3 linked regions of the Anolis sagrei genome follow. The protein of the gene in region 1 binds, or shares a complex with, the protein of each later gene. Links are inferred from orthologs where the notes say so. Each region holds a gene or a part of one and is shown in the gene's direction. Other genes may lie near its edges. The genes, in order: HEATR3, RRS1 and RPF2.

Region 1 (7,513 bases):
GTCCAAGGCACTCTCAGAACTTTCCTCCAGCACCACAGTTCAAAAGCATCGATCTTCCTTCGCTCAGCCTTCCCTAAGGTCCAGCTCTCACATCCGTAGGTGACTACAGGGAATACCATGGCTTTGACTAGGCGGATCTTTGTTGCCAGTCTGATGTCTCTACTCTTTACTATTTTATCGAGATTGGACATTGCTCTCCTCCCAAGAAGTAAGCGTCTTCTGATTTCCTGGCCACAGTCTGCATCTGCAGTAATCTTTGCACCTAGAAATACAAAGTCTGTCACGGCCTCCACGGTTTCTCCCTCTATTTCCCAGTTGTCAATCATTCTTGTTGCCATAATCTTGGTTTTTTTGATGTTTAGCTGCAACCCGGCTTTTGCGCTTTCTTCTTTCACCTTGATTAGAAGGTTCCTCAGCTCCTCCTCACTTTCGGCCATCAGAGTGGTGTCATCTGCATATCTGAGGTTGTTAATGTTTCTTCCAGCAATTTTCACCCCAGCTTTGCATTCATCCAGCCCCGCACATCGCATGATGTGTTCTGCATACAAGTTAAAAAGGTTGGGTGAGAGGATGCAGCCTTGCCGTACGCCTTTCCCAATCTTGAACCAGTCTGTTGTTCCGTGGTCAGTTCTGACTGTTGCTACTTGGTCCTTGTACAGATTCCTCAGGAGAGAGACAAGGTGGCTTGGTATGCCCATCCCCCTAAGAACTTGCCACAATTTATTATGATCCACACAGTCAAAGGCTTTAGAATAGTCAATGAAGCAGAAGTAGATGTTTTTCTGAAACTCCCTGCTTTTCTCCATTATCCAGCGGATATTGGCAATTTGGTCTCTCGTTCCTCTACCTTTTCTAAACCCAGCCTGAACATCTGGCAACTCTCGCTCCATGTATTGCTGGAGTCTTCCTTGCAGGATCTTGAGCATTACCTTACTGGCATGAGAAATAAGGGCCACTGTACGGAAGTTGGAGCAGTCTTTTGCATTTCCCTTTTTTGGTATGGGGATATAAGTTGATTTTTTCCAGTCTGATGGCCATTCTTGTGTTTTCCATATTTGCTGGCAAATGGCATGCATCACCTTGACAGCATCATCTTTTAAGATTTTAAACAGTTCAGCTGGGATCCCGTCGTCTCCTGCTGCCTTGTTGTTAGCAATGCTTCTTAAGGCCCATTCCACCTCACTCCTCAGGATGTCTGGTTCTAATTCATTCACCACACCGTCAAAACTATCCTCAATATTATTATCCTTCCTATACAGATCTTCTGTATAGTCTCGCCACCTTCTCTTGATCTCTTCAGCTTCTGTTAGGTCCCTGCCATCTTTGTTTCTTATCACACCAATTTTTGTCTGAAATTTACCTCCAATGTTTCTAATTTTCTGGAAGAGGTCTCTTGTCCTTCCTATTCTGTTGTCTTCTTCCACTTCCATGCATTGCTTATTTAAAAATAGTTCCTTATCTCTTCTGGCTAACCTCTGGAATTGCGTATTTAACTGGGCATATCTCCCCTTATCCCTGTTTCCTTTTGCTTTCCTCCTTTCTTGGGCTACTTCCAGTGTCTCAGCAGACAACCATTTTGCCTTCTTGGTTTTCTTTTTCTTTGGAACGTACTTTGTTGCCGCCTCCTGAACAATGTCTCGGACTTCTGTCCATAGTTCTTCTGGGACTCTGTTTACTAAATCTAGTCCTTCAAATCTGTTCTTCACTTCCACTGTATATTTGCTAGGAATGTTAGTGAGATCATATCTAACTGGTCTGTGTATTTTCCCTGATCTCTTTAGTTTTATTCTAAATTGGGCAATAAGAAGTTCGTGATCCGAGCTACAGTCAGCCCCAGGTCTTGTTTTCACCGACTGGATGGATGTCCGCCACCTTTGGCTGCAAAGGATGTAGTCAATCTGATTTCGGTGTTGACCATCTGGTGAGGTCCATGTATAAAGCCGTCTTTTAGGTTGTTGGAAGAGAGTATTCGTTATACACAGCGAGTTTTCCTGGCAAAATTCTATCAGCCTGCGTCCCGCTTCATTTTGTTCTCCCAGACCATGCTTGCCTGTGATCCCAGTTGTCATTTGACTTCCCACCTTGGCATTCCAGTCTCCTGTAATGAAAATAATGTCTCTTTTTGGTGTATTATCCAGTAGGTCCTGCAGATCCTCATAGAACTGATCTACTTCTGCTTCTTCAGCAGCTGTGGTTGGGGCGTATATTTGGATCACTGTAATGTTGAAAGGCTTTCCTTGCACTCGAATTGAGATCATTCTGTCATTTTTTGGGTTGTATCCAAGCACCGCTTTAGCGAATTTCTTATTAATTATGAAGGCTACTCCATTTCTTCGATGTTCCTCTTGTCCGCAGTAGTAGATCTGGTGGTCATCTGATGTGAAGTGGCCCATTCCAGTCCATTTCAGTTCGCTGACCCCCAGAATGTCTATCTTTAGTCTTGACATCTCACCAATAACAACATCCAATTTGCCCTGGCTCATAGATCTTACATTCCAGGTTCCTATGGTGTGTTGATCTTTAGAGCATCGGATTCGTCGTTCACCTCCAGTACCGTCGGCCGCTAGCCTTCCTTTCGGCTTTGAGCTAGCTGCGTCATCACATCTGGGGCTAGTTGAACTTATCCTCTGCTCCTCCCCAGTAGCATTTTGGCCATCTTCCGACCTGGGAGTCCCATCTTCCAATGGCATACCGACATATCTCTGGTTGTACTGGTCCATTTAGTTTTCTTGGCAAGGATACTGGAGTGGTTTGCCATTGCCTTCCCCAGGGATCACGCTTGGTCTGACCTCTCTGCCACAACCGTCCCGTCTTGGGTGTCCCTTCACGGTTTCGCTCATGACATCATTGAGGTGCTCAAGCTCCAGCGCCCCGACAAGGCGGTGATCCTTTGCTGGATCCTTTGCTTTGATTATAGGTAAAGGTAAAGGTAGTCCCCTGACATTAAGTCCAGTCATGTCTGACTCTGGGGTGTGGTGCTCATCTCCATTTCTAAGCCGAAGAGCCAGCGTTGTCCATAGACACCTCCAAGGTCATGTGGCCGGCATGACTGCATGGAGCGCCGTTACCTTCCCGCCGGAGCGGTACCTATTGATCTACTCACATTTGCATGTTTTCGAACTTTGATTATAGGCGCACTATAAATCCCAGTAACTACAGCTCCCAAATGACAAAATAAAACCCCCTCCAACCCTACCAGTATTCAAATTTGGGCATATTGGGTATCTGTGCCGAATTTGGTCCAGTGAATGAAAACACATCCTGCATTTCAGATATTTACATCGCAGTTCACAACAGTAGCAAAATGACAGTTATGTAGTAGCAAGGAAAATAATGTTATTGTTGGGGGTCACCACAACATGAGGAACTGTATTAAGGGGTCACGGCATTAGGAAGGCTGAGAAACACTGGTCTAATCTATCTATCTTTCTATCTTATCTATCTCTCTGTCTCATCTTTCTGTCTTATGTATATATCTTATCTATCTTTCTATGTTATCTATCTTACCTATCTACCTACCTACCTGTCTACCTATCTACCCACTTATCTACCCACCTATATATCTATCTATCTACCTACCTACCTACCTACCTACCTAATCTATCTACCTATCTACCTACCCATCTACCTACCTATCTACCTACCTGTCCACCTATCTACCTACCTATATACATATCCACCTACCTACCTACCTACCTACCTGTCCACCTACCTACCTACCTATATACATATCCACCTACCTACCTATCCACCTATCTACCTACCTATCTACCCACCTATATATCTAACTACCTATCTACCTACCTATCTTATCTATCTACCTACCTACCCATCTACCTACCTATTTACCTACCCATCTACCTACCTATCCATCTATCTACCCACCTATATATCTATCTACCTACCTATCTTATCTACCTACCTATCTACCTACCCATCTACCTACCTATACACCTATCTACCCATCTATCTGTCTGTCTGCCTGTCTGTCTATCTATCTATCTACCTAGCTATCTACCTACCTATCCACCTATCTACCCACCTATACATCTATCCACCTACCTATCTTATCTACCTACCTATCTACCTACCCATCTACCTACCTATACACCTATCTACCTATCTACCCATCTATCTGTCTGTCTGTCTGTCTATCTATCTATCTATCTATCTATCTACCTAGCTATCTACCTACCTATCTACCCACCTGTGTATCTATCTACCTATCTATCTACCTGGGAGTTGCAGTCCAATAACAGGAAATTGGAAATCTGCATGGATTGGGATGCTCTCAAACAAATCCAAGAAGAATGCTTGCAGTTTCAAAGCAGTGCATTTGGAGCCTTCTCCTCCTCCCCTCAAGGGTCTGGTGTAGGGGATGCTGGGAGCTGTAGTCCGGAAGAGAAGGGAGTGTATTTGCAGCCTCTGGGCAGAGCTGTGCTGGGCCTTTGCGTGGCGCATGCGCAGGAGCCGCACACGTGGGAACTGGGGAAGAGGAGGAGGAGGAGGAGGGGGGAAGAGGCCGGCCTGGTCCCCGCTTTCCGCCTCCTTCCTGGGGTCTCCCTCCGGGATCATGGGCAAAAGCAAGGCCAGGCGGTTCCGGCAGGCCCCCTACAGCCCCGCGGTGGGGAAGATGGGCCAGGAGAAGGGCCAGGAGAAGGAGGAAGGAGAGGAGGAGGAGGAAGGCGGGTCCCCAGCCGAGGAGCTGCTGGAGAAAGTAAGCTGCAAAGAAAGGATGGCCACAGGGATACTGCAGGGTCCAGCCAGCTCTGGGAATCCTGCTATGGTTAGGGAGAAGGGAATGGTGGTTTCCCCCTGACACTGCCATATAATCCAGATTATCAAAGCAGATGGTCCACATCTGCTTTGAACTGAATCATATGAATCTACACTGCTATATCATCCAGATGATCAAAGCAAATGATTCATATCTGCTTTGAAATGAATTATATGAGTCTACAGTGCCATATAATCAAGGTTATCCAAGCAGACGATTCACATCTGCTTTAAACTGGATCATATATGTCTACAGTGCCATATAATCCAGATTATCAAAGCAAACAATTCACATCTGTTTTGAACTGGATTATAGGAGTCTACATTGCCAAATAATCCAGATTATCAAAGCAGATCATCCATATCTGCTTTAAACTGGATTATAGGAGTCTACACTGCCATATAATCCAGATTATCAAAGCAGACTATTCACATCTGCTTTGAACTGGATCATATGAGTCTACACAGCCATTATCAAAGCAGACTATTCACATCCGCTTTGAACGAGATTATATGAGTCTACACTGCCATATGATCCAGATTATCAAGGCAGACAATTCACATCTGCTTTGAATTGGATTATATGAGTCTACACTTCCATATAATGGTGCAGAGGCCCCTTCTGCACTGCTGTATGATCCAGATTATCAAACAGATGATTCATATCTGCTTTGAACTGGATTATAGAATTCTACACTGCCATATACTCCAGATTATCAAAGCGGGCGTTCCACATCTGCTTTAAACTGTATCATATAAGTGTACACTGCCGTATAATCCAGATTATCAAAGCAGATCGTCCATATCAGCTTTAAACTGGATCATATGAGTCTACACTGCCATATAATCCAGATTATCAAAGCAGATCATCCACATATGCTTTAAACTGGGTCATATGAGTCTACACTGCCATATAATCCAGATTATCAAAGCAGATCATCCACATCTGCTTTGCACTGGATTATATGAATCTACACTGCTATATAATCCAGAGGCCCCTTCTACACTGCCATATGATCCAGATTATCAAACAGATGGTTCGTATCTGCTTTGAACTCGATTATAGGATTCTACACTGCCGTATAATCCAGATTATTAAAGCAGATGATCCACGTCTGCTTTGAACTGGATTATAGGAGTTTACACTGCCATAGAATCCTGTTCAAAGCAGGTAATCTGGATTATATATGGTAGTGTAGAAAGGGTCTGGGGTTGCAGGTAGAAATCCCCAGGTTAATCCCTAGCAGTTCAAGGGCCCCATCTACACTACAAACCAGATTCTCCGGTTTGAACTGGATTATCTAGCAGTTTAGAAGTATATTATGATCTGGATTATACAGCAGTGTTGAGCCTAGGCTGCATTGGAAAATCCTCGTATCTGAAAGCTTTAAGCAGGCATGGGCAAACTTCGGCCCTCCTGGTGTTTTGGACTTCAACTCCCACAATTCCTGTTAGGAATTGTGGGAGTTGAAGTCCAAAACACCGGGAGGGCCGAAGTTTAATCGAACCTGATGTTTTTGGGTTGGTTTATTGCCTAAAATGTGTAGATTTGTGCATGTAGGTGCCAATCAGGCCACTAAAGAGTAGATATTGTCAAACCGGGGGCCACCGCAGAGAAGGTCCTTGCCATCTCCTCCAACACACAACGTCCTACAGCTAAGTCCCATAAGTCATTGGCGAAGGGATCTTGCTACTTTGGGTTACCTGGCACCTGCATCTCTCAAACCGTGCCCCTTCTTTCCTCTTTGTAGCTGCAGCACCCCAGCGCTGACGTTCGGGAATTTGCTTGCGCCAGCATTTCCAAGCTCTTGCAGCAGAAACAGACAATCCCGGCTTTTGTGCAGAGGGACGTGGTCCGGTGTTTGGGGCCCATGCTGCTCGATCAGAGCCTGGCGGTTCGAGAGACGGCGACGGGAGCGCTTCGGTGAGTAGTATAACATCTAAGGCAAAATCCTAGAGTTGGAAGGGGTCCCCAAAGGCCATCCAGCCCAACCCCATTCTATAAGGAAGGGACACCCAATAAAAGCACTCCCGACAGATAGCCACGCAGCCTCTGTTTAGAAACAGCCAGAGCAATATACTTTGGAAGAGTCCATACCATTCCTAGCAGCTCCAGGAAACGTGTCCTTCCCCATTGTTTATGGCTTGGGGTCCTTTCTTACCACCCAGTTTATGGGATTTGCACTTAGATGCCCCTTCTGCATGGCCATATAAAATCCAGATTGTATGTTTTGAACTGGATTAGATAATATAATATGTAGACTCATATAATCCAGTTCAAAACAGATATCATGGATTATCCGCTTTGATAATTTGGATTATATGGCAGTGTAGAAGGGACCCAAGTCTCCTTCTAGAGAGAATCATAATAACAATAACAACAACTTATTGTCATAATAATAATAACAACAACAACTGTTGACAGGCATAATAGCTGATCAAATCCAGGATTACTTGGAGGAAAATAACATAGAATCATAGAATCAAAGAGTTGGAAGAGACCTCATGGGCCATCCAGTCCAACCCCCTGCCAAGAAACAGGAATATTGCATTCAAATCACCCCCGACAGATGGCCATCCAGCCTCTGTTTAAAAGCTTCCAAAGAAGGAGCCTCCACCACACTCCGGGGCAGAGAGTTCCACTGCTGAACGGCTCTCACAGTCAGGAAGTTCTTCCTCATGTTCAGATGGAATCTCCTCTCTTGTAGTTTGAAGCCATTGTTCTGCGTCCTAGTCT
Region 2 (7,076 bases), on another chromosome or scaffold:
GTTGGATTGACAGAAAAAACGCAGTCCATGCAGTCACACTTCAGCTTTGACTTTTAGGGGAAACCAGGTTCTTTAAAATATTGTATTTACTAAATGTTATATATGTAGTATATACAGCTTCAATGTATATAAATGCTGTGATAGCATCCTCCAAATACACTGCAAATGTGATGGTTTCTGGGTACAGTACTTCATCTAGAACACTACAGTACTTCATCTAGAAAAATAAAGAGTGTTTCTTATCAATTCTGAGTGTTGCCCAAAACATTTCATTTGAGTGGTCAAAGGTTTTTTAGAACCTGGAATTATAATAGTCAAAATTCCAAGTACCATAGGCATTCACATGTCAATCCAGATGATAAAGTCACATAACTTATTTTTCTTTCAAAACCAAAAAATAAAACAAACTATAAACACAAAGGAAACTTTTTCAAAAATGTAAACTGTCATCACAAAGAAACTTTTTAAAAAAAATTGAACCACAAGTGTTGCTTTTATACTGCAGAATTAATGAAGGTTGACATAATTTTAAAGTGCCAGGGCTCGATGCTATGGGAATACTGGGAGTTGTAGTTTGGTAAGGCATAACACTCTTGGTCAGGATTCTTCAGAACTGAGTCACGGCAGTTATCAAACTGTAATCCACAGCATACATCAAAGAAGGCAGAAGAGCTTGTAAAAGTACAACTCCCAGGTTTCCCTAAGCACTCAGCCACAGTGATCCATCTGTATTAATGTTAATCAGTGTTATACTTATAATTTATTTTAAAAAACTGCTAACAAAGTTTAAAACTTGGCATTATGCTAAATTTCCTTTGACCAGAAGCTGGACACTTTGAGTGCCTCTGGTGTCACTGTAAGAAGGTCCTATGTTGTGCATATGGCAGGGCTCAGACTGCATTGTAGTAGGTGGTCTGTGGTTTGCATGTCATATGTTGTGGACTCAGCTTTGAAGCCCCATTTCTAAAGGTTAGCTCTGCATCTCGTGGTGCCAGACCACAGCCTGTTCAGCACCTGCCAAACTGCCCAGTCTTCTGTGTGCCCAGGAGGGAGTTTCTCATCCGGCATCAGCCTCTGATTGAGGTTCCAGGGTTTCCCAAACTCTGCTCTATCCAGACTATTGGGACTTCCACTCCCAGAAACTCTGACATTGGCCAAAGGCAGCTGTGACTTCTGGGAGTCAAAATCCCAAACACCTCATGGACTAGATAAAATAGAATCATAGTTGGAAGAGACCTCATGGGCCATCCAGTCCAACCCCTGCCAAGAAGCAGGAAAATCGCATTCAAATAACTCCTGACAGATAACCATCCAGCCTCTGCTTAAAAGCTCCCAAAGAAAGAGATTCTACCACACTCTGGAGCAGAAAGTTCCACTTCTGAACAGCTCTCACAGTTAGGAAGTTCTTCCTCATGTTCAGGTGGAATCTCCTTTCCTGTAGTTTGGAGCCATTGTTCCGTGTCCTAGGGTCCTTCCACACAGCAATATAACACAGAATATCAACACAGAATAACCTACAATATCTGCTTTGTGGCGCCCCTGGTGGAGCAGTGGATTAAACCACTGAGCTGCTGAACTTGCTGACCAAAAGGTTGCTGGTTCAAATCCAGGGAATGGGATGAGCTCCCGCTGTTAGCCCCAGCTTCTGCCAACCTAGCAGTTCGAAAACATGCAAATAGGTACTGCTCCAGTGGGAAGGTAATGGAACTCCATGCAGTCATGCTGGCCACATGACCTTGGAGGTGTTTATGGGCAACACTGGCTCTTCAGCTTAGACATGGAAATTAGCACCAACCTCCAGAGCCTGGCACGACTAGACAATGTCAGGGAAAACTTTTACCTTTACCGATCTGCTTTGAACTGGGTTATCTGAGTCCACACTACCATATATCCCAGTTCAAAGTGGATAGTGTGGGATTTTTACTCAGCTGTGTGGAAGGGGCACTAGTCTCCAGAGCAGCAAAAAACACGCCTGCTTCCTCCTCCCTATGACTTCCTCTCACATCTTGATACATGGCCCTCATGTTTCCTCTCGGCCTTCCCTTCTGTAGATTAAATATGCCCAGTGGATTGGTGTAAGTTTTTCGGGCTGTATGGCCATATTCCAGAAGCATTCTCTCCTGACGTTTCCACAATATATTAAACATGCACAGCTCTTTAAGACGAAACGTTTGCGGTGGGACAAAAAGCCAACGGGATTTTGACCTGCATCCATAGGAGTATAGTGTCTAGATCCAGGGAAGTCATGCTATCCCTCTGTTGTGCCTTGGTCAGAGCACACTTGGAATACTGTGTCCAGTTCTGGGCACTACAATTGAAGGGAGATGTTGACAAGCTGGAATGTGTCCAGAGGAGGGCGACTAAAATGATCAAGGGTCTGGAGAACAAGCCCTATGAGGGGCGGCTTAAAGAGCTGGGCATGTTTAGCCTGAAGAAGAGAAGGCTGAGAGGAGACATGATAGCCATGTATAAATATGTGAGAGGAAGTCAGAGGGAGGAGGGATATATTATTAGCATATCATTATTATATTATAGTACAATGAAGAAATCCACCAGCCGTGAATTGATTCAATCAAGGAATAATAGTTAGGAGGAACCATATGGGCCATCAGGTCCAACCACATGGATCTCTTGCAGGTAGCTGTCCAGCCTCTTTTTGAAGACATTCAAGGCCGAACAGGGCATAGGGTTACAGCCTGTGTTAGACGGGGTTACATTCCCCCTGAAGACGCAGGTTCGCAGCTTGGGAGTGATCCTGGACTCATCGCTGAGCCTGGAACCCCAGGTCTCAGCGGTGGTCGGGAGAGCTTTTGCACAATTAAAACTTGTGCGCCAGTTGCGCCCGTACCTTGGGAAGCCGGATCTGGCCACAGTGGTCCACATCCCAATTAGATTACTGCAACGCACTCTACGTGGGGTTGCCTTTGAAGACTGTTCAGAAACTTCAATTAGTCCAACGGGGGGTGGCCAGATTACTCACCGGAGCGTCATACAGGGAGCACACCACCCCCCTGCTCTGTCAGCTCCACTGGCTGCCGATCCAGTTCCGAGCACAATTCAAAGTGCTGCTTTTGACCTACAAAACCCTTTACGGCTCCGGCCCAGCGTACCTGTCCAAACATATCTCCTTCTACGTCCCACCTCGGAGTTAAGATCTGCTGAGGAGGCCCTGCTCTCGGCCCCACCTTTATCACAAGCAAGACTGGTGGGGACGAGGGACAGGGCCTTCTCGGTGGTGGCCCCTCGCCTGTGGAATGCACTCCCCGGGGAAATTAGGACATCAACATCCCTCCTCTCCTTCAGAAGGAAGCTAAAAACCTGGATGTGGGACCAGGCCTTCAGGTAAGCTGGCAAATGGACAAAGACAACCAATAATGACCAGAGTAGGAAAGGACAATGACGATGCTAAATGGTTTACGGACTTGGATTTGGTGAACATTGACCACAAGATGTTTTTATTGCTGCTAGTATACTGTCAATTGTTTTAATTAGTTATAACTGTGATTTTATATGGTAAATTTGTGTGTTGTATATTGTATTGTATGTTGTAATTGTTAGGCATCAAATTGTGCCTTGTGTAAGCCGCCCTGAGTCCCCCCTAGGGGGTTGAGAAGGGCGGGGTAGAAGCACCCCAAATAAATAAATAAACAAATTGTATATGTGTATAATATTTATAATATTATGTGATGCAATACAAAACTAATAATAATACAATAATATAATATATATTTAATATTACATGTAATATTACTAATAATATTACAATATAATGGTATTGTACAAAATAGTAATATACGTATAATACTGATATTGTGCTATGCTAATAATATAATATATTGAATGTGTGTATGTAGATAATAAATATAAATGCCGCAAATAAATAAATATATAACGGGCTGGTGCAGCAAACATAATCTCAGTGCTCCACAACATCCCCCTCCCGTGAGAACCTACCCTAGCAGAGAGATGCATGCTGGGAACTGTAGTTTTTACAAAGTGGGCTGTGCATTGGGGGAATCTCGCTTGAGAAGGTACATCCGGTGACGCACCGGAAGTAGAGCCTGATAGCTCCTAGCGTGCGGAGAGGGAGATCCAAGATGGCGGCTGCCGGCGCGGCGACGGTGTCCGTGGAGGATCTGCTGGCGCGCGCGGAGGAGCGCGAGGCGGACGAGCATCGGCGTCGGGGCGTGACGGTGCAGAAGGAGCTGGAGCTGGAGTTCGACGCGGGCAACCTGCTGGCGCTGGACAGGAACCCTGCCCCGCGCGCCGTGGCGTCGGGGAAAGCCGCGGAGTCTGAGCGCGAGGCGGCCCTGCGGTGCCTGGCGCGCGACAACGCGCAGCTGCTGGCGGCCCACCTGTGGGCGCTGCCCTCGGAGCGGTCGGAAGGCGGCGCGGGCCCCGTGGTGGCGCGCCTGCCGGAGCCCGCCACGCGCCTGCCCCGCGAGAAGCCCCTGCCCAAGGCCAAGCCCCTCACGCGGTGGGAGCAGTTCGCCCGCCTCAAGGGGATCCGGCCCAACAGGAAGAAGCGCGGCTCTCTGGTCTGGGACGAGCAGGCCAAGGAGTGGCGCCGGCGGTGGGGCTACCAGCGCGCGGGGGGCAAGGAGCCCTGGATGATGGAGGTGCCCGACTCGGCTGACCCTTCCGAGGACCCCTACGCGCGCAGCAGGAGCGAGAAGCGCGAGCGCGTGGCCCGCAACGAGCTCAACCGCCTCCGCAACCTGGCCCGCGCCCACAAGGCGGAGATGCACCCCACGGGCAGGCAGGACAAGGCCGAGCTCGCCCGCGCCGCCACCCTCGCCCGCGCCGCCACCGCCTCCAAGGGCCGCTTCCAGCCCCGCCTGCCCCGCGAGGACCCCCACGCGCCTCAGCGCAGCCCCGGGAGGAAGAGGCACTTCCAGCCCCTGCTCGGGGACCTCCAAGCAGAGAAGGCCCGCCACCTGGAGCTGGCCAAAAGCCTGGGCAGCAAGAAGCCCCTCATTAACATCGCCCGCGCTGTCGGGAAGCAGCTCCGGGAGGAGGACGAGGAGGCCAAGGCCCGAGGAGGAGGGAAGGGGAAGAAGAAGGGCCAGCGCGGGAAGAGGGCCAGCAAGCAGCAGCAGAGGCCTCGGGGCCCCAAGGGCAAGAAGGCCGCAGGAAGAGGAGGAGGAGGCGGCGGTGGGAAGGCCAGGAGGAAGAAGTGAAAGCCCGCACATGTACTTTTGCTCTCAAAATAGGAAAACAGTGGCCTTGGGTTTTCTGACCACAATAAAGACAGTGTCCTGGGATGTTGTGATTCACCTCCTTGCAGTCTTGAACCTGTTGAATAGGCATGGGCAAACTTTCAGGTGTTTTCGACTTAAGCACCTACCATTCTTGAGCAAACTTGGGTCCTCCATGTGTTTTGGACTTCGACTCCCACCATTCCTAACAGCCTTAGGCCCCTTCCTTTTTCCCTCTTAGTCGCTTAAGCCCAAACACCTGGAGGATCCAAGTTTGCCCATGCCAGTGTCCTGGGATGTTGTGATTTACCTTCTTGCAGTCTTGAACCTGTTGGATAGGAATGGGGAAACTTCCAGGTGTTTTAGATTTCAGCGGCCACCATTTTTGAGCAAACTTGGGTCCTCCATGTGTTTTGGACTTCGACTCCCACAATTCCTAACAGCCTTAGGCCCCTTCCTTTTCCCTCTCAGTCATTAAGCCCAAACACCTGGAGGACCCAAGTTTGCCCATGCCACTGTCTTGGGATGTTATGATGCACCTTCTTGCAGTCTTGAACCTGTAGAATGGGTATGGGCAAAGTCCCAGGTGTTTTGGACTTCAGCTCCCACCATTCCTGGGCAAACGTGGACCCTCCAGGGGTTTTGAACTTCAACTCCCACCATTCCTAACAGCCTTAGGCCCCTTCCTCCAACCAAAATTTGGAAGAGTCAAGTTTGTCCATGCCAGTGTCCTGGGATGTTGTGATGTGCCTTCTTGCAGTCCTGAACCTATAGCACAGCCATGGGCAAACTTCCAGGTGTTTTGGACTTCAGCTCCCACCATTCTTGAGCAAACTTGGGTCCTCCATGTGTTTTGGACTTCGACTCCCACCATCCCTAACAGCCTTAGGCCCCTTTCTTTCCCCTCTCAGTTGCTTAAGCCAAAACACCCGGAGGACCCAAGTTTGCCCATGCCAATGTCCTGGGATGTTGTGATGCACCTTCTTGCAGTCTTGAACCTGTAGAATAGGCATGGGCGAACTTCCGGGTGTTTTGGACTTCAGCTCCCACCATTTCTGGGCAAACGTGGACCCTCCAGGGGTTTTGGACTTCAACTCCCACCATTTCTAACAACCTTAGGCCCCTTCCTCCAGCCAAAATTTGGAGGACTCAAGTTTGTCCATGCCAGTGTCCTGGGATGTTGTGATGTGCCTTCTTGCAGTCCTGAACCTATAGCACAGCCATGGGCAAACTTCCAGGTGTTTTGAACTTCAGCTTCCACTATTCCTGGGCAAACTTGGGTCCTTCGTGTGTTTTGGACTTTGACTCCCACCATTCCTAACAGCCTCAGGCTCCTTCCTTTTCCCGCTCAGCCACTTAAACCAAAACAGAGGACCCAAGTTAGCCTATGCCTTCCATAGAGTCACCAAACTCCCAGGATTCCCAGTTTCCCCAGGCCTGGTGTAGATGCACCTATAGCTTTTGTCTTTCCCCTGAAGTCCTACTTTTATTTCCCAATGAGTCACAATGATGCCTCCAAAGTAGCAGATCCTTGGTCCAGTTATCATAATTCAGGAGGAAGTTTGCTTCCTATATAGGAGGAAGGAAGGCCAGGAGGAAGAAGTGGAAGCTGGCACATGTACTTTTGCTCCCAAAATAAGAAAACAGTGGCTTTCGGTTTTCGGAACATAATAAAGACAGTGTCCCGTGATGTTGTGATGTGCCTTCTTGCGGTCTTGAACCTGTAAGACAGGCATGGGCAAGCTTGGGCCCTCTTGAGTGTTTTGGACTTTGATTCCCACCATTCCTAACAACCCCAGACTCCTTTTCTCCCTGAGGCTGCGAGGAATGGTGGAAATCGAAGTCCAAAACACTCAAGAGGGCCCAAATTTGCCCACA
Region 3 (7,256 bases), on another chromosome or scaffold:
CAAAGCAAGAAGACAGGTAGAGCTAGACAATCACACTTTATGAAAATGCTGGGATAGGAGAAAATATAGAACTCAGAGGCGTGTTTATTAAAGAGTTATGTGGTGTCTGTTGGGAAAAGGGAAATCAAACATTCTGAATACAGCTCTTGGGAGCTTAAAACGTGGATGAAGTCCAGAGACACATTTTTAAGTGATATATTAATACACTGTGTGGGATCAGCATAATTATCTGTTATAGAACTTTATATTTTCTACTCTATATGTTTTCACTTAATATTGATAAGGAGGATTCAGTCAAGCATTACTACATTGAACCCCAATATAGTGGTCATCCTGAAGGCCAGCCACCACATCTATGGGGAGATCCTAAGGATAAGAGGAAAAGGCGAGCGATAGGTGCCCAAAGATTGGAATTCAGAGTGGATGACTTCCATCTTTTTCTCACATACACACTGTTTGGAAGTTATGTGAACCACAACAGACCATGGGGGCTGAAAATTGGCCTTTGGACTTTTACTCTGTCCAGTTGTCATTTAGACTATCCTGAAATGAGATGAAACTAAGGTGCAGGGTTATGCAATAGGAAACATTGCCCTTTTCTTCTGTGTTTTGCCCCTTTTCAACACAACAGGAAAGGATATACCACAATTGTTCTTAAGATCTAAGCTGTTGAGTTCAAGCAGTCAGGACTCTGCTGGCTTCCCAGCTGTCCGTTAATTTACATGCATTTGGTCCTTGTTTTTCTACCCTTCAGGTTAGCAAAATAGCTAACACAAAAAGTATATATATTAAAAACAACATCTCATAGGACTGAAGGGTTTTGACTTATCCCACAGTTATGTACATTCTTTGACGTTACCAACAGGCTTCTAACATTGACTAGTCCAACAAGGCTGAAGTTACTTTAGTGCAGGAGTGCAACTTGAGAAGTTATAGACTGGAACTACCATGATTCTTAACAATGTTCCCATACTTACCTATTTTTAACTGCTGTTTTGTCTTTATAGTATGCCCAAGACAAAATAGTTTCAGAATTTTCTAAAACATGCTGGATGAGTTAATTAATAAATACAGTCACTCCACCAATTTTGTTTTTTATCCTATATTTTGTTTCTAGTATCTCTCTCCCTTTTCCCTCTGTCCTTGAACAAATTCTTCAAAGACAGGCTCCAATATGAAGCAGCTGAACAAAAATGAATAAAGTGATTTACATTACCTCTCAGTTAGTTTGATAAACCTGTTTGTTTGTCCTTCTTCCTTTTCTGTTTTGGCTAAATGCCGTACCCAACCACACAAGTATATCATAATAAGCCCACTGAAACTACCATCCATGCCTCTAATTAATTGGGCCATGGTACATCAAAGGTTATGCCGTATGAAAGATCTTGAAGGTGCCACACTGAAAACTGAGATGGCCCCTACACCTCCAAGAATTGTAAAGAGGAGGTAATTTCAGCAGGCATTACATCAGAACTTTCTAAAAAATTCACATTGGTGACACACCATTTTTAGACATGGAGCACTCTCTAGCCTTTAAGCCAGTGACACTACCTGCTACCTGTTTTTGTTATTTTGGGGGGTCCCAAGTGCCCTAAAACACTTGTGAATGGATACCACCCCTAATTTAAGAGCACCCAAACTCCCTGCCCCTCTGAGGCTGGATTTACTCTGCCATATAATCAAGATTATTTGATCTGAACTATGTGGGGCTGGATCTACACTGCCCTATATTGCAGGATCTGGTCCCAGGTTATCTGATTTGAACTGGATTATATGAGTCGCTGCCAGATAGTCTGGGACAAGAAAATGATCTAAGGCCTCTGAGTTATGTAAGTTCACACTGCCACACATTCCGGTTCAAAGATGATATTTTGCAATTTTCTGCCTTGATATTCTGAGTTATATGGCTGTGTGGAAAGGCTCTGAGGCCCCTTCCACACAGTTGAACAAAATCCCACAGTACCTGCTCTGAACTGGGTTATATTGTTGTCGAATATGCCCCCCACCCCCAATAAAAGATAGTTTATAATTTGGGAATTCATAGTTTTGCCAAGGACATCAGGCTGGAATGATAAAAGTTAAGTTTTGGCAAATTTGCAAAAGGACTAATAACCACAACATGTTAGATGGTGTGTACATTTAATCAAGATTTATGCCCTATATTTCACATATTTAAAACAAAAGGTAACTGCTATATTTACTGGAAACCCTGTCACAAAAAGCCAATTTTTCCCAATCCTGCATGCTCCCCTTTTCCTTTATGAACTCTATATATGCCCTACATCCCCAATTATTATATGTATGTCTGTATAAAATATCAAGCAAGGTGACCTCTTCATGAACTATGACCAGTATCTCAGGACTCAGGTATTGCAGAATTGTTGTTGTTGTTGTTGTTGTTGTTGTTGTTATTATTATTTACGATACTTATATACCTGGAAATTTCCTGGGTCTTCAACCAAGTTTGGGAGGGGTGGTGTTGAATGCTCTCATTAAGGAGGCCAGACTTGGTGGAGGTGGTTGACAGGGGCTGTAGGCTATTGAAGGCTGCTCTGCCCTCTGCTGTGCTCTTTGCTTCAGTGTGAGCTAGGAGGCAGGTTTCAACCCCTCCCCCCCCCCCCCCGAATTTTTTTTCTGGCTACGGCCCTGCCAGCCTCTGCCTTGGCAGGGCCCCCTAAAATCGTGCTCTGCATCAATATGGCAGTGTGGACTTAGATAACCCAGTTCAAAACAGATATTGTGGGATTTCCTGATATTCCGGGTTATATGGTCGAGTGAAAGGGCCCTGGGATCAGATTCTGGCATATAAGGTCCAGCCTGAGTCTACATTCCCATATAATCCAGTTCAAAGCACATGATCTGAATGTATATGGCACTGTAGAAGGGGCCTCATTTGGGGTCCTTCCACACAGCCCTACACTGCAGAATATCAAGGCAGGAAATCCCACAAGATCTGAGTGTGGACTCAGATAACCCAGTTCAAAGGAGATATTGTGGGATTTTCTGCTTTGATATTCTGGGATATAGGGCTGTGTGGAAGGGCCCTATGTTATCTAAGTCCACACTGCCACACATTCCAGTTCAAAGCAGATATTGTGGGATTTTCTACTTTGATATTCTGGGATATATGGCTGTGTGGAATGTCCCTATGTTATCTAATGTTATTATTTTTATTGTTTTGTATTACTTCTTGTTATTATTTTTATTATTGATGTATTGTGGGCTCGGCCTCATGTAAGCCGCACCGAGACCCTTGGGGAGATGGTAGCGGGGAATAAATAAAGTATTATTATTATTGGGTTGTTGTAGGTCTTTTTGGGCTATATGGCCATGGTCTAGAGACATTCTCTCCTGACGTTTCGCCTGCATCTATGGCAAGCATCCTCAGAGGTAGTGAGGTCTGTTGGAACTAGGAAAAGGGAGTTTATATATCTGTGGAATAACCAGGGTGGGACAAAGGACTCTTGTCTGCTGGAGCTAGGTGTGACTGTTTTAACTGACACCTTGATTAGCATATAATGGCTTGACCATGGCCATATAGCCTGAAAAACCTACAACAACCCCATTATTATTATTATTATTATTATTATTATTATTATTATTATTAGAGTCCACAGTGCCATACATTCCAGTTCAAAGCAGATATTGTGCAATGTTGTGCCTTGATATTCTGTGATATAGGGCTGTGTGCTTTTCTCTTGTTTTCTGTCACATTGTTTACCAGCCAATTTCATAGATGTCTACTTAAGAGATAAGTCCCACGGAGTTTAACAGGACTTGCTTCCAGGTAATTATGCTCTTAATACCTGATGGAAGGCTTACTGTAAGCATCCTTCGAATGTCAATTCAATACCGGAAGTGTTGATAAGTCTACTTCGAACTCTACTCTATGACGTGTTCGTCTCCATAGCCCCGCATTTTTTCTAGAGGTAAAAAGTGACCATTTTCAACCGATAGTTCAGGTTTCCTTTCGGATGCCGCCTTGTTTGGAAAAGGAGAGTCTGAACTGTGCTGAACAGAAGTGCGGTGCTATCTTAACAGAGACCCTTTCTTGGAGTCCAGATTGGACTCTCGGATGTGGATACAGTTTACGATATAGAGGCAGGAGTGTAAATGTGTTGCAAAGGGGGGGAGGGGGTTAGAATCCAAGTTGCGAGGAGCTGAGATTTTCCTATCTCTACGTTCACGTTCCGGATGTGACGACACAAAAAGCTACATTTCCGGAGTACTTGTTTAATGGTCCCACGTGGAGGCAGCAGAAGTTTCAGGCATGGAGGCGTTGGATCGAGTAGAGTGAGTCTCACCGTTGCTTGTGTAGGCCTGGTCAAACTTGGGCCCTCTCTCCAGGTGTTTTGGACTCCAACTCCCATCATTCCTAACAGCCTCAGGCCCCTTCCTTTTCCCCCTCAGCCGCTTAAGCTGAGGGGGAAAAGCGGCTTAAGCCGCTTAAGCGGCTGAGGGGGAAAAGGAAGGGGCCTGAGGCTGTTAGGAATGATGGGAGTTGGAGTCCAAAACACCTGGAGAGAGGGCCCAAGTTTGACCAGGCCTGTGCTTGTGTCACATTGAACTTTGGGTTGTTTGTTTACTTTAAATTTAGTTATTTCATGTATTTATATGCTGTCTTTAAAATAGGACTCGAGTCTGCTTCCAGAGATATATGTATGTCATAATAAATTGTGGCAAGTTCTTGGTGGTATGGGCATCCCAAATCACCTTGTCTTTCTCCTGAGGAATCTGTATAAGGAGCAAGTAGCAAGAGTAAGAACTGACCCTGGAACAACAGACTGGTTCAAGATTGGGAAAGGCGTACGGCAGAGTTGTATACTCTCACACAACCTATTCAACTTGTATGCAGAATACATCATACAATATGCAGGGGTTGATAAATACAAGGCTGGGGTGAAAATTGCTGGAAGAAACATTAACAACCTTAGATATGCAGATGATACCACTTTGATAGCCGAAAGCGAGGAGGAGCTGAGGAGCCTTCTAATCAAGGTGAAAGAAGAAAGCGCAAAAGCTGGGTTGCAGTTAAACATAAAAAAAAACAAGATTGTGGCAACCAGATTGATTGATAACTGGCAAATGGAAGGAGAAAACGTGGAGGCAGTGACAGACATTGTATTTCTAGTTGGAAAGATTACTGCAGACGCAGACTGCAGCCAGGAAATCAGAAGACACTTATTTCTTGGGAGGAGAGCAATGACTAATCTCGATAAAATAGTAAAGAGTAGAGACATCACACTGGCAACAAAGATCCGCATAGGTAAAGCAATGATATTCACCGTAGTCACCTATGGATGTGAGAGCTGGACCTTAGGGAAGGCTGAGCGAAGGAAGACAGATGCTTTTGAACTGTGGTGCTGGAGGAAAGTTCTGAGAGTGCCTTGGACCGCAAGAAGATCCAACCAGTCCATACTTCAGGAAATAAACCCCTACTGCTCATTGGAGGGAAGGATATTAGAGACAAAGATGAAGTACTTTGGCCACATCATGAGAAGTCAGGAAAGCTTAGAGAAGACATTGATACTGGGGAAAATGGAAGGAAAAAGGAAGAGGGGCCAACCAAGGGCAAGATGGATGAATGGGGTCCTTGAAGTGACTAGCTTGACCTTGAAGGAGCTGGGGGTGGTGACAGCTGACAGGGAGCTCTGGCGTGGGCTGGTCATAGAATCAAAGAGTTGGAAGAGACCTCATGGGCCATCCAGTCCAACCCCCTGCCAAGAAGCAGGAATATTGTATTCAAATCACCCCTGACAGATGGCCATCCAGCCTCTGTTTAACCATGAGGTCCATGAGGTCACGAAGAGTTGGAAGTGACTGAACAAATGAACAACCACAACATATACATACATCCAGATATGTGCTTGCTTTCAAGTTGCTTATCCACTTGTGGAAGCCCCATTCATTTCATGGGGTTTTCTTAGGCAGAATATTCAGAAGAATATCCCTTCCTCTGAAACACAGCCCTACAGCAGTCTTCGGTGGTCTCCCATCCAAGGCTGAGCCCTGCTTAACTTCCAAAATCTATCGCCTTTAGTATGCCAGCTGTTGACCGAGGGATGAATTTGTTTTGTGAGCCACCCCAAAACCAGCGTTTTTGGAATAGTTATATGAAAAATAGTTATATTTTTGTGAAAATAACCATGATGAAGGTAACTGGAAGGGACAAACACATCTACAAGGAACATTAGCCAAAATGTCAGTCAGGTTGCAAACTGCCTTTGGTGTCGATTAGGAGAAAAACTGGTCAATAGGTAAAGATAAAGGTTTTCCCTTGACATTAAGGGCAGTCGTGTCCGACTCTGGGGGTTGATGCTCATCTCCATTTCTAAGCCGAAGAGCCGGCATTGTCTGTAGACACCTCCAAGGTCATGTGGTCAGCATGACTGCATGGAGCACTGTTACCTTCCCGTGGGAGCAGTCAATACAGAAGTAAATGAAAACAGGCAGTCCCCAGGTTACAAACAAGACAGGTTCTGTAGGTTTGTTCTTAAGTTGAATCTGTGTCTAAATCAGAACAAGCAATTTTTAAAAAGTGTAATTCCAGCCATTTTTTTAAGTTTTGGAAAGGATAGGGAAGGGTTAATACCCCTGTGGTGTTTGCTTTGCTGTCTTGCTACTGTTGGAAAGTTTTCATCTCACTTTTTGTCCCTGTGATAATTGGATTTTGAAAAATGTGGTTTGTTTTGGAAACAAGGATTGGTGAGAAAGCTTCAGTGGAGACACCTTTTCCCCATGACAACTCTTCCAGGAGTGGATTTCCTTCCGAGGGGTAGATTTCTTCCACTTCCTGTTGTCTCACCTCTGTTCTCAATGTTTGTAACTCAAGGACTGACTGTAAGTACATTCAAATACTTGGTGAAAGTTAACATTGTGACAATAATATTCTCATGGCAGAAAACCCAAAACCAAGAGGGCAAAAAGGTTTCTTGAAAAAAGGGAGCCAAAGCTGACAGAAAATACCAAGAATGCTATGCTCATAAAAGGTGGAAATGCAAATACAACCATCACCGAAGTACTAAAAGACATTGTAAGTATGTTTGGGAATATTTGTGGAGCTGGGGCTATGTTCTGTTGTGTTACATAGAAAGGTGATTTAAAGTACTGATTCTCAAACTTTAGCCCCCTAGAGCACTGTTTCTTAAGGTTGGGACTGTGGGTCCCAACCTTAAATAGCGTCCCCTTAGCTAATTGCTGGGGTCACGAAAAATTTTGAAACAGTGAAAGGTTTCTCCAGTCATTTACACAAATCT

What was found.
Region 2: HEATR3 (region 1) and RRS1 share a complex: the UniProt entries of both Homo sapiens proteins name them as parts of the hexameric 5S RNP precursor complex. The link is inferred for Anolis sagrei from reciprocal best matches to the Homo sapiens genes HEATR3 and RRS1.
Region 3: HEATR3 (region 1) and RPF2 share a complex: the UniProt entries of both Homo sapiens proteins name them as parts of the hexameric 5S RNP precursor complex. The link is inferred for Anolis sagrei from reciprocal best matches to the Homo sapiens genes HEATR3 and RPF2.

Annotation. Positions count from the first base shown.
Region 1 is NC_090028.1:31,600,320-31,607,832, forward strand, and holds the start of HEATR3 (HEAT repeat-containing protein 3), read left to right. Parts: upstream 1-4,470; 5' UTR 4,471-4,573; coding exon 4,574-4,717; intron 4,718-6,527; coding exon 6,528-6,700; intron 6,701-7,513. UniProt on the Homo sapiens protein: Plays a role in ribosome biogenesis and in nuclear import of the 60S ribosomal protein L5/large ribosomal subunit protein uL18 (RPL5). Required for proper erythrocyte maturation.
Region 2 is NC_090024.1:45,535,328-45,542,403, reverse strand, and holds the start of RRS1 (ribosome biogenesis regulatory protein homolog), read left to right. Parts: upstream 1-4,036; 5' UTR 4,037-4,097; coding exon 4,098-5,180; 3' UTR 5,181-7,076. UniProt on the Homo sapiens protein: Involved in ribosomal large subunit assembly. May regulate the localization of the 5S RNP/5S ribonucleoprotein particle to the nucleolus.
Region 3 is NC_090021.1:93,052,319-93,059,574, reverse strand, and holds the start of RPF2 (ribosome production factor 2 homolog), read left to right. Parts: upstream 1-4,191; 5' UTR 4,192-4,236; coding exon of another isoform or gene 4,237-4,270; coding exon 4,271-4,293; intron 4,294-6,900; coding exon 6,901-7,033; intron 7,034-7,256. UniProt on the Homo sapiens protein: Involved in ribosomal large subunit assembly. May regulate the localization of the 5S RNP/5S ribonucleoprotein particle to the nucleolus.